2 linked regions of the Schizosaccharomyces pombe genome follow. Changing the gene in region 2 together with the main gene of any one other region gives a genetic interaction. Each region holds a gene or a part of one and is shown on either strand. Other genes may lie near its edges. The genes, in order: thi5 and thi1.

Region 1 (5,206 bases), on a different chromosome or scaffold from region 2:
ATATCCGGAACAATGCGCAATGGCTGCCTGGTGCAACATGACTGAAAAGGATACTGAGCGTACTTTGTAACTTTAACATTGCTTCTTCTTCGATTTATATATATTGCAATGCTTCTAGACAAACATGTAATGGAGATATAATTTCAAAATTATATATTTACTTGAGAAAAGTAAGTGTATAGTGATGTAATTTTTTTTAAGAATTTTTATAAAATTCATTATATTAATCAATTAAACTACTCTGTTATGTTCTTTGTTTTCCTAAACCGGTTTGCAACTATGCTCATATGACATTATACCGTTTGTATATATTTTTGTTATTTATTTATATGATACTTACTTAGTTTGCAAAAAGAAAAGAGAAAGTTCATAAGAAACCCCATATTACAGATTGAAGCAATTTAGGTCTTTAATAGATTTAATTTCTAAATTTGATTCTTCACCCATTAAAAGTAGTATCAGTGTTTCCCAATTTTAACAATGATACTGTGATTAAACAAAATACATCTCAATTCGAATAGAGACTTCTAAATATAAGTTAAAGCACGATAGTTGTTTTCTTAAGATGCAAGCAAAATTGATTAACTTTTCTTTCAAAAGAAAAATTAACCATGCATATGATTTTTTAGAAATGAAAGAATATTTAGTGAGTTTTTTTTAATTTTCTCCACTTGTTTATACCTTGCTCAAAGGACGCACGATTAAGGCCATCAGGAACTAAACAGAATGTAACACCAAGTCTTTCAACCTCTCTGTTCCTAGACTCATCATCAAAAAACACCATTTCTCGATAGTCAATTCCAGATTCGTTGTGGATCTCTTTGAAGTGATCCATTTTACTACCTATTTCACAATAACTAGTTAGCAATATGATTATTGATATTTTCTGTATTGACAAAAATGTATTAAAAGACATACCTGGCCAAGCTTTTACATAAGTGAAAAATTCGATAGCCGGCTTAAGACTTCCATCTATTGGTACCTTCATCAAATTCAATGCTTGTTTCGCATACTTGGGAGCACAAGTACGGCTAGCAACGCACAAAGTAACTTTTTGGTTCCTTAGCTCTTGTAAAATTCCAGTTATATCTGAGTAAAAACAAATCTCTGTGCCATATTTGTCAATCAAAACGCCTGGGTCATTTTTGGAAGGCTTAAATGGTGCAGTGACTGTGAAACTTTGTTAGAAAATAAAACATAAAGTAGATCAAAGTAAAAGATTTAATACCATGGGTATCTATCCAAAGAGGCCACAGAGTGTAGTCTAAGTCAAAAACAACGCATTTTGGGAATTCGATATTTTTTACCATATTTGCTTGATATTTTATGGTATTGGTTATTAGGTTCGTAAACAACAAGAATGAAAGTCTTTTTAAGAGTGATTTCAAGTTCAAAAGATTGACCGTAACGCTTTCAAGAAGTTTACTGCCAGTTTGCTAGTTCGATAAGATTGACACAATTTTAGTTGGTACGTTGATGTAATCCAATTTTTTTTAAAGAAAAATATATATATTCAACTTTTTTTGCATTAGTAATGAAAAAAACTTAGGAAACAAATGTTTGAATTTCATTAACTTTTATGAATTATTATTATTTAATTTAACTGTCTTTGATATTCTCAATAAACAAATAAACTGATACCAAAAAACACTGTGTAAATACCATGTTTTATAAAATTGATCAAAACTGTATACTACCAAATTACAGTCAATTAATCGTTGTCATTAACATATTCATTTAAACAATAAATTTTTTTACTGCATTTAATACATTTATATTAACCTGGGGACTTGACAGAGCTTACTAGCAAATTTAATTTTGCTGATGCATACTATTTAAAATTGAAGTAGCATTGCTACTTACCACCTTCGGGTACCTGTGACCGACAGCGAAATTGATTTACCTATATGAAAATCTTAAATGTAGCAATTGTTATTATGCGAAGTTTATGTGTCCCTCTGACTTTTCTAGTCGTTCTTTGTTTTTAGAAGCCAAAGAGGAAGAGTATAAACAAAGAAGGCGTGTTCCTTTGGACAGTAGAAGAAGAGTAAGGCGGGCATGTCTGTCTTGTCGGGCCAAGAAAATTCGATGCAGTGGTTCTGAACCATGTCAGGCTTGCATTGCTACGCCTTCGCAATGTAAGTATGCTGATTCTTTAAAAGAGCGTACTCCCTCAAAACAATTTATTGCGGAACTGAGTCAAAGGCAGAAATGCTTCGAATATCTGATGGAATTGCTGTGTCCTTCTCTTCCTCATGACACACGTAGTTTAGTCAAACTATGCAAACATGTCGAATCTTCATTAGCTTCTGGAAGCGACGTTCGTTCTTTGCTAATACCCGGGTCAATTGATCAATCTGTTTTAAAGGTTGCTGCTACAAACAATAAAGACGATTCGTCTGCTGTCAAGTCAGCAAACGTTTCTTTTCCTTCTTCATCTACTCCCCCCTCTTCGGATTCAAATTTCTCATCTATTCAAAACACTGATCTTAATACTTCCATCAAGTTTACTGAAAATATATCTGCTAATGCAATTCATGTGAACCAAGATAAGGTTATTAGAAGTGCCAATAATTTAATAATCAATTCCCAACCCATACTTCCTGTACGTTCATTCTTAGATGCTCTAGGAGAACCCATATATTTAAGTCCGACGTCAAGCACTTATTTTTTAAATTCTGTTTTAGCATCCTTACAGTTAAATTCAAGCAATACCCCAGAATCACTGCTCATTGACTATCAAAGTAAAATTCCGGAGGATCTCTCTTCCTCTTTATTGCCTTTAGAACTAAACACACTTCAATCGACCCCTACTTCAGTATCTGTAGGTTCAGCTTCTTCACAAGGAACTCATGAATATTCAATTATAAATTTGACCTCCAATCACTCATCTTTTTCATTAAAAGCTCTAAAGAAAATAGCACATAATTTGTTACCACCGGTTTCTGTCGCAGAACGTTATGCAAATGAGTTTTTCCTCCGGTATCAAAGTTTTTTTTACTTTTATCCTCCATCTGTTTTTTCTAACCGTTACCAAATCCTTGCAGATGGTTTAGTTAACTCAGATACGTTGGATACAGGATTTCTTGCTGTTGCTCTTTTAATTGTTGTGCTTGGTCACTTCTCAAATAACAACATTAATGTATTGCCCAAGGAAGTTCAGCTTAGTCATATTGATTCAATGATACAGATTTCAGAGCAATTAATTAGCTCTTTATTAAATCGCTGTACCCTTTCTTCTATTCAAGCTGTCTTTTTACTTTCACTATATCATTTTTTAACTGGAAATTTTAAATGTGCATATTCTTATTTAGGTTTTGCAATACATTCCGCGCATACCCTTGGTTTGGAGCATGGTTCAACTGATAACAGCACATTAAATGAAGTTTCAACTGAGGAGACTAGTATTCGCATATGCTGGTCCTTACGTGTTTTAGCCAGTTTTTTGTACATACAGTCTGGAATTACTCCTATCATAAATTTATTTCCAAATGGTCTGAATTCTTTAAAACTTCCTACCGTTGTCCCGGAGCTGGAGGCTCGACATTTACCTTCATCCGTTTTTCATTTTGTCGCTATAATAAAATACGCTGAGATCTCCGTACGGTCTCTAAATTCACTGTATGAATCAAGTTCTGATTATTTGATGGATGTCTCAAATTTTCCTAAATTACTATTAAAAGTTGAAAGAATCTACTCCCAAGCTCGTAATTGGAAGTTAAACTTAACCCATCAACAGCTTAATGGAACGAATGACACTTCAGATCTCCTTTTTCATTCCAACGTTAGCTTACATTTATTTTATCACTACCTAATTGTCAAGGTAAGTTGTCCCATTATGTTTTTCTATTTAAATAATTGGTATTCTGTTAAACCTTCTTCATTTACGAAAGGCCTTAACAATAAACCAAGCTTGGAAGATGTGTTTTCCAATTTGGAAACCTGCTATGAGTCTGCAAAGGCAATTGTTCAGTTATCATCGAAATTGTTATCTGCTGGTCAGATGGACAAGTGTTTTTATTTGGAGTTTGAAATTTTATACTGTTCGGCAATTGTGTTATTTTTATTCTCAGTTATGCACCTTGGTGCAGAAAACCCATTACTTGAAAGTATTTATTTACTGGAAGATATGGGATCACGTACTATCGATTCAAAGGTTCGACTTGAAAAGCTTAAGAGTGCAATCGAAATATTTGATATAAACTCAGCTACTGAAATGCCTATAAACGAGCCATTATCCGCTTCTTTTGAATCAGTCAACAAAGAAAACAGCCAGAGTGGATATATGGCTTGGCAAAATTGGGTTACAGAATTAAGCTCGTCTAACATTCCTTTAGGTCATGCTTTGGGTAATCCTGAGTCGAACAATTCATCTAACTCGTTCAAACCTTCTCATCCATCTCAAAGTTTTTTGGTCAATGAATCACTCGATTTTTCTTCGAATCCTAAGGAGCCTCCATTCCTTCCGTGGTCCGAAGCATTGCTAAATATGGATATGCAATTGAATCGTTTAGGACCATAATGATCTTATTGTTTAAACATAAGTTTTATTTTGAACGTTTTCGTTTTGTTACATATTGTTATACTTATACTTCATTATCATTAATAATGCTAACTCTAAATAAAAACTTTTTAGTCTATAATAATATTTGGACCGCTAGCTATATTGACTGTTCCGTATTTCTTTAACATAGTCTTGAAGTAGCAATACTGCTGATTTTGTAATTTTATAATGTTTTTAAAAAAAATGAATAAACTGTCATTAAAACGCTTCATGAAACTATCAGTAACATCAATTTTGCCGTAATAAAAGTTTTGTTATAACCGATATCTATACGATTCTTGAAGGAAGTGTCAATTTTTTTTTTATATTAGTATTAACGATTGAAAATGAACAAAATAAACAACAGCATCCAACAATAATCATTTACATGATCTTTTTTTATTTTTAAGATTCACAAAAGCTGGTAAGATACTGTTAGCTTTTAAAACCATTTCCTCATATTCCCCTTCAGGCGAACTAAGAATAGTAACAGCACCTCCAGCACCTATTCTCCAATAATCATCAGCTTTGTACTTAAATGCTGATCGGATAATAACGTTGAACTCAGCAGAACCTGTTACATCCCAATAACCAAGCGTGCCAGAATAAATTCCTCGACCATGTTGCTCCAAAGGTTCAAGCATCCTCACGCTTCTTAACTTA
Region 2 (5,083 bases):
TGGTGGTGTGTTTACAAAATATCGTAATCATTTTGGTAATTTGATGACATCTGAAGAAACAAAAGCCCCGGATAACAATGATTTACATAAAAGACTTTCTGATGTTATCAACAGTCAGCAAAAATTTTTGTCTTTGTCCCCTCAGGTATCTAAAGATTATTATGATGTTCGCTCAAAACTAAATGATACCGCGGGCTCATTTTCAGGTGAAGAAATGCGTGCAATTGATGATAATTACTATGCCAGTCGTATTAAGCAACTGGAGGATGATTATCAAAAAGCCATAACATATGCCAATTGCTCAGATGAGTCATTTCAGCAGCTTAGTCATTCATTTATGTAACTCTATTCATCAACTAAGGATTTTTTATCTCTTTTTTGGTTTGTACAATTTTCTTAATAATTTTTTGAAGTGGTTTGATTTTTTCTACTTAATCTCAAGTCGTTTGACTACGTATGTAAATTACCACTATATTTAACAATAAAATACGCAATTATTTCTACTGCATTTACATTGACTCATTTATATTTTAAAAAGTAATGAAATTTAATTAACTTTTAAAAAGTAAGAGAAAATTTAAAGTATTAGATTGATGAGGATACTCTCAAGTGCAAATTACTAAACTGGTATTAAATGCTAATTCCTTAACCACGCGAACAAAGCATATGATGAATTACGTAGAAATAATTAAAACAAACAAAGACCTGCAAAAAACCATTAAAGATTCATCCATTTTTTTCAAGGGTCAAATTTGAAGTTTGCTCTGCAGTATGCGAAGACTGCTCAGAGACATTAGTAGGGCCTAGCAGTTCCGTCCAACTCAAAAACGTAGGAGCCGTCCATTGTTTATCAACTTCCAAATTGAGAACTGGATCCGGTAGAAAAGTTTCAGGTGTGAGCAAACTGGGTTGGTTACTAACATAACTTTTGTTTAGACCCGGAACATTATAGAGAGATGATGTTTGGTCAAAAGGTTGGAATGCTTCGTTTGGAGTACTATTACTACCATTTGAGCTTTCTCCTGTAAGCTTAAAGGTAGAAAGCATGTCTCCATGTGACATATCTCCCACCCAGGATTGCCAATTTTGAAAACTATTTTGGAAATCTGCAATCGGATTATTAATGTCTGGGGCATTGCGCCTAGATAACTGTTTGTTAAATGACTTAAGGTAGTTTAGACTTTCTCTAGCAAATTCACACCTTGAACTCAGAAATTCCAATACCTGCCATAATTTTGTGACTACAGCTTGAATATCCTGAGAGTTTTCGTAATGAAGAGACAAGAGTAAAATAGGTGCGCTTGCAAATGGAACATGCAGCCCGAAAAACGATAAGCTGGACAAACACTTATGTGTTAATAAAAGATGTGCTATGTTTATGACCCTTGTTGCGCTTTCAACACATAGCTGGATGTAGCGACGATTTTCAGCAGTTAAATCTTTATCTTTTAATTTCTTTACCATAATAACTCTCGTAGTAAGCATAATCGCATTATCATATATCATTTGAACATGTGCATTTGACCGGAAGAGTGGATGCTGAACAGCCGATTCATCAAAAACCACAGAAGAATGTAAATCACTTTTCCAAAGCTCTAGACGAGCATAAATCCTACGGACAGAATTAACTTGCGATTCAAAGCTTGGAGAAGGGTTCCAGTACAGCGAATCGCAAATCTCATTTGTTAACTTAGCCAAGTTAATAACGGCACGCATGTTTTCGACGATAGACTGAGAACCCGGTATTTCTAAATCGGGCAATATAACAGGGTAAGGTATAGAAATGCATTCCAAAGGTATGCTAGGGCGTCTTCCAGTAGTCATGCTTACAAAACGGTCAATACAGAAAACTGACCACAACAATCGGTTTCTCAATTCCTTGGAATTTTGGGTAAGAGAAGGATCATCAGAGTTTTTGTGAAGTCCTAGGGCAACCGCAAATTTGATCGCCAAACCAAAATATGCAAAACTAGATTTTTCATAAATGGTAGATTGAAGATACAGACCAATAAGTAGGGAAGATTGAACTGCACTAACGTCTGATTGTAAAAGGACGAGTGGAAAAATGCTCAGCGCAGCTGAAAATAATCTGTTACCAATGTTGGAGGCATGAAAATTCGACTTGCTGACATCTTCCTGTTGTTCTGCCGTATACTGATTGCCAAAAGCAAGAACCATAAGTAGAATGCACAAAAATCCAGCATCAATTTGGTTTTCCATCGCTAAAAAAATCTCTAATCTACATTTGAAAAAATGGGGATGATAAACAAACAAATTGGTTTGGACGTTGATAAAAAAAGAATTGATTAAAAATTCAACCACAGCTTTGGAAGGGATCAAGCTTCTTGCATGTAAAAGTAATTGTTCATCAAATTCGGAATATGAGACGGAAGGTGATAAACGCTTGGAATACAAATCGTCTTCAGAAATTGATTCAAGCTCCAATTCGTTTTGCAAACGTTCAATAAACGCCTCAGAGGTTGTTGGTCCAAGATAAAGCGTATCTTCAAGTTTCCCTACTTTGAGTTGATCTCTGAACGAAATGCCTGGCTGTACCTCACCTGCAATTAAGGAAGATGATGATTGCATTTCTTCCGTAGTTCCACTTATATGATTTCTGCTTAGCTGATCATTAATTCGTACTAATGTGTCTAGCTCATTTGTAACTTCAGCTATTTTTGACACAGGCAAGTTTTCGTTTTCAGATAACTTTTTGGATATCGAAATTAAATTTTTGGTTTCGAGGTTGAAATTTGGGCACATTCGAGAGAAAATGTATTCCAAACATAGTTGTCTTTCTGATAACTCTTCTAGGTATTCACGCGACAATGTTTTATTCTGTGATTTTTGTGCATAAACACACTCGATATTTAACGTTTTGCAACTTATGCATGGCTGACCACCATTACATTTAATCTTTTTCTGGCGGCAATGCTTACATGCTCGAAACACACGTCGTCGCTGCTCTGGAGGTACCCGCCTTTTCTTTTTTCGCTCCAAATCTTTAACATCGGCAAAAAGTTGATTTTTTAAAAATCCTATTTCTTCATTCATCTCTCTAGAATACCAACCACATTTCAGTAAATCCCTAATACAATTCAATCCTAAAGAAATCCCAAAATTTAGTAAATTATCGTTGCTTTAGGACCAAGAAATCGTCAAATTGTAGTGGAAGAGAATATGCGACTTTGCTTGGAAAATAAAATTTTGTTAAGCTTCACTGTTAATCCTAACGCGCTTTAGATTAAAGTGGTTTAGTGCAAATGAAATCGTCAAAATAATGTACCATTAAGAATAATGCAGTAATCTGTGTTAACGCGGTTTAATCGCTTTCCTAAAACATTTTTGATGGTATTCTCCAGTATCCAAAAAAGAAACCAATCTAAACTAAATTGTAGCTTTTAATCGTCTTAAATTGTAGGATGATAAAATCTACGTTTACCCATCACTCAATGTACAAGATATACAACTGAACAGCAACAAGCTTTCTACGTTAAAAATTTCTTCAGGAAAAATAAATTCAGTTCAAACACTATCATAATTGCAGTTTTTTTAATCATTGAAACATAATAAACGATTTTATTATTTAGAAAAAAACACCAAAAAATTAGACCTAAAAACCATTTGCAAATTGCATGTTTGAATAAAAGACCTTGTACGTTCTTAAAAATGCTTGCAAGTTTGCTTAAACACCATATGTAAGCATGTCAACTAGAAAGCGACATAAGTAAATTAAAACCAATCCAATCTCTACCTTTTTTTTCTTCTGACCTCGTTAGGATTTTTCCTTCCAGCTCCTATCTGAACGTACATTCGATCTTTGGTAACACCGGTAAGCAGAGAGGGAAGATAATCCTCATCCATAAGATCGATTTCCTTCTTTCGCTGCATGCGGCGTACAGCACGTTGATATTCAGGCTGATCTTCACGTAAAACAGGATTTTTCTTTCCTTTACCATTTGAAGTACCATGAACTGGCTTAGGAAGGGAATATTTTGTGCCTCGGGTTTTCCACTCGAAATTCTTCTTCAAGTGCACTTGAAATTCACCTTTAGAGTTGATACTGCACGTGGTTTTAATTAACGTGTTACCACCGCAGGAAGGACAGAATTTTTTCTCCATGTCTTTCACTACTGTATAGCATCCGTGGCAACGGAGAACGAATCTCTTAACATTTTGAATTTTGAAACCATCTGAAGAAACTAGATTTAGCCCAATTTGCAATAAGACATTTTGCATCGAAAAATCAGTAGTAGCGCAGGCGACTTTGAGATGTTTGGGTTGAACAAGGCTTTCACCGACGCCATCCTCAGCTTTCTTTTTGCGAATATTTGAAGGAGTAATCCATCCATCATCTTCATCATCTTCCTCATTGTCTTCTTGCTCTTTATTTTCTTCAGTATTCGGATGTGCTTCTTTATTATTGGAATGTTGTGTCGTTTCACCTTCCAAGACTTCGTTCTCTGCGGATTTAGGATCACTGTTCTCAGTTTCTTTTACAGAAGCTGTATCGCTTGATGTGGGTTTAGATGCATCTTCAGTAGAATTTGAATTACTAGGGGGTTTTCCATTGATATGCTTTTGACCAGGATACTTGCGAAGTCTCCAGTCACCACCATTAAACTCGACTTCTAACTCATAAGTCAAAGCCAAAATTTGAATATCGGTTACAGAGAGTGAGGAGTAATCACCGGTTTGCTTTGCAAATTCGGAAACTATAGTTTGTTAGAAAGCTGCTACCAAGAATCAAAGTATTTATGATGGAAGTAGTTGAAAAGAATAGCAGGTGTAAGAAAGCGATCAAATTCCAATATGATTAAGCTTTTTCACCCACCTTGCTTTCACTTCTCAGAGATGACTGTGCACAGAATAAAATCTAGCTGGTTGCTTTCTTCAACCACTATACAACTTTCTTTTTAATAAAACATACCTTTTTTTATAAATTCTGGTTTTGGAACTCTTTGAATTACTTGATCGCCCCAAAGTTCAAAATTTTTCCTCGATGTTTCGTCTCGAATTTCTGCAATCACTCGAGGAATGGTATAAAAGCTTTCCGCAGAATTTCTTAATAAAGTACTAGAGC

The links.
Region 1: of thi1 (region 2) and thi5, extra expression of one rescues a mutant of the other (dosage rescue), as found in Schizosaccharomyces pombe (one study listed by BioGRID).

Annotation. Positions count from the first base shown.
Region 1 is NC_003423.3:3,694,437-3,699,642, reverse strand, and holds thi5 (DNA-binding transcription factor Thi5), read left to right. Parts: upstream 1-1,937; 5' UTR 1,938-1,948; coding exon 1,949-4,522; 3' UTR 4,523-4,679; downstream 4,680-5,206. Other genes in the region: G1 cyclin Puc1, read left to right, coding at 1-70; SPOM_SPBP8B7.31 (acid phosphatase), read right to left, coding at 606-670, 724-843, 919-1,170, 1,229-1,310; abz1 (para-aminobenzoate synthase), read right to left, coding at 4,924-5,206. UniProt on the Schizosaccharomyces pombe protein: Transcription factor that activates the nmt1 promoter. Regulation of thiamine repressible genes. Negatively regulates conjugation during meiosis, by inducing negative regulators which delay conjugation. Involved in thi1 regulation.
Region 2 is NC_003424.3:3,209,950-3,215,032, reverse strand, and holds thi1 (DNA-binding transcription factor Thi1), read right to left. Parts: upstream 3,161-5,083; 5' UTR 3,055-3,160; coding exon 727-3,054; 3' UTR 524-726; downstream 1-523. Other genes in the region: cell end marker Tea3, read left to right, coding at 1-343; ribosome biogenesis protein Nob1, read right to left, coding at 3,751-4,715, 4,931-5,083. UniProt on the Schizosaccharomyces pombe protein: Transcription factor that activates the nmt1 promoter. Regulation of thiamine repressible genes. Positively regulates conjugation during meiosis.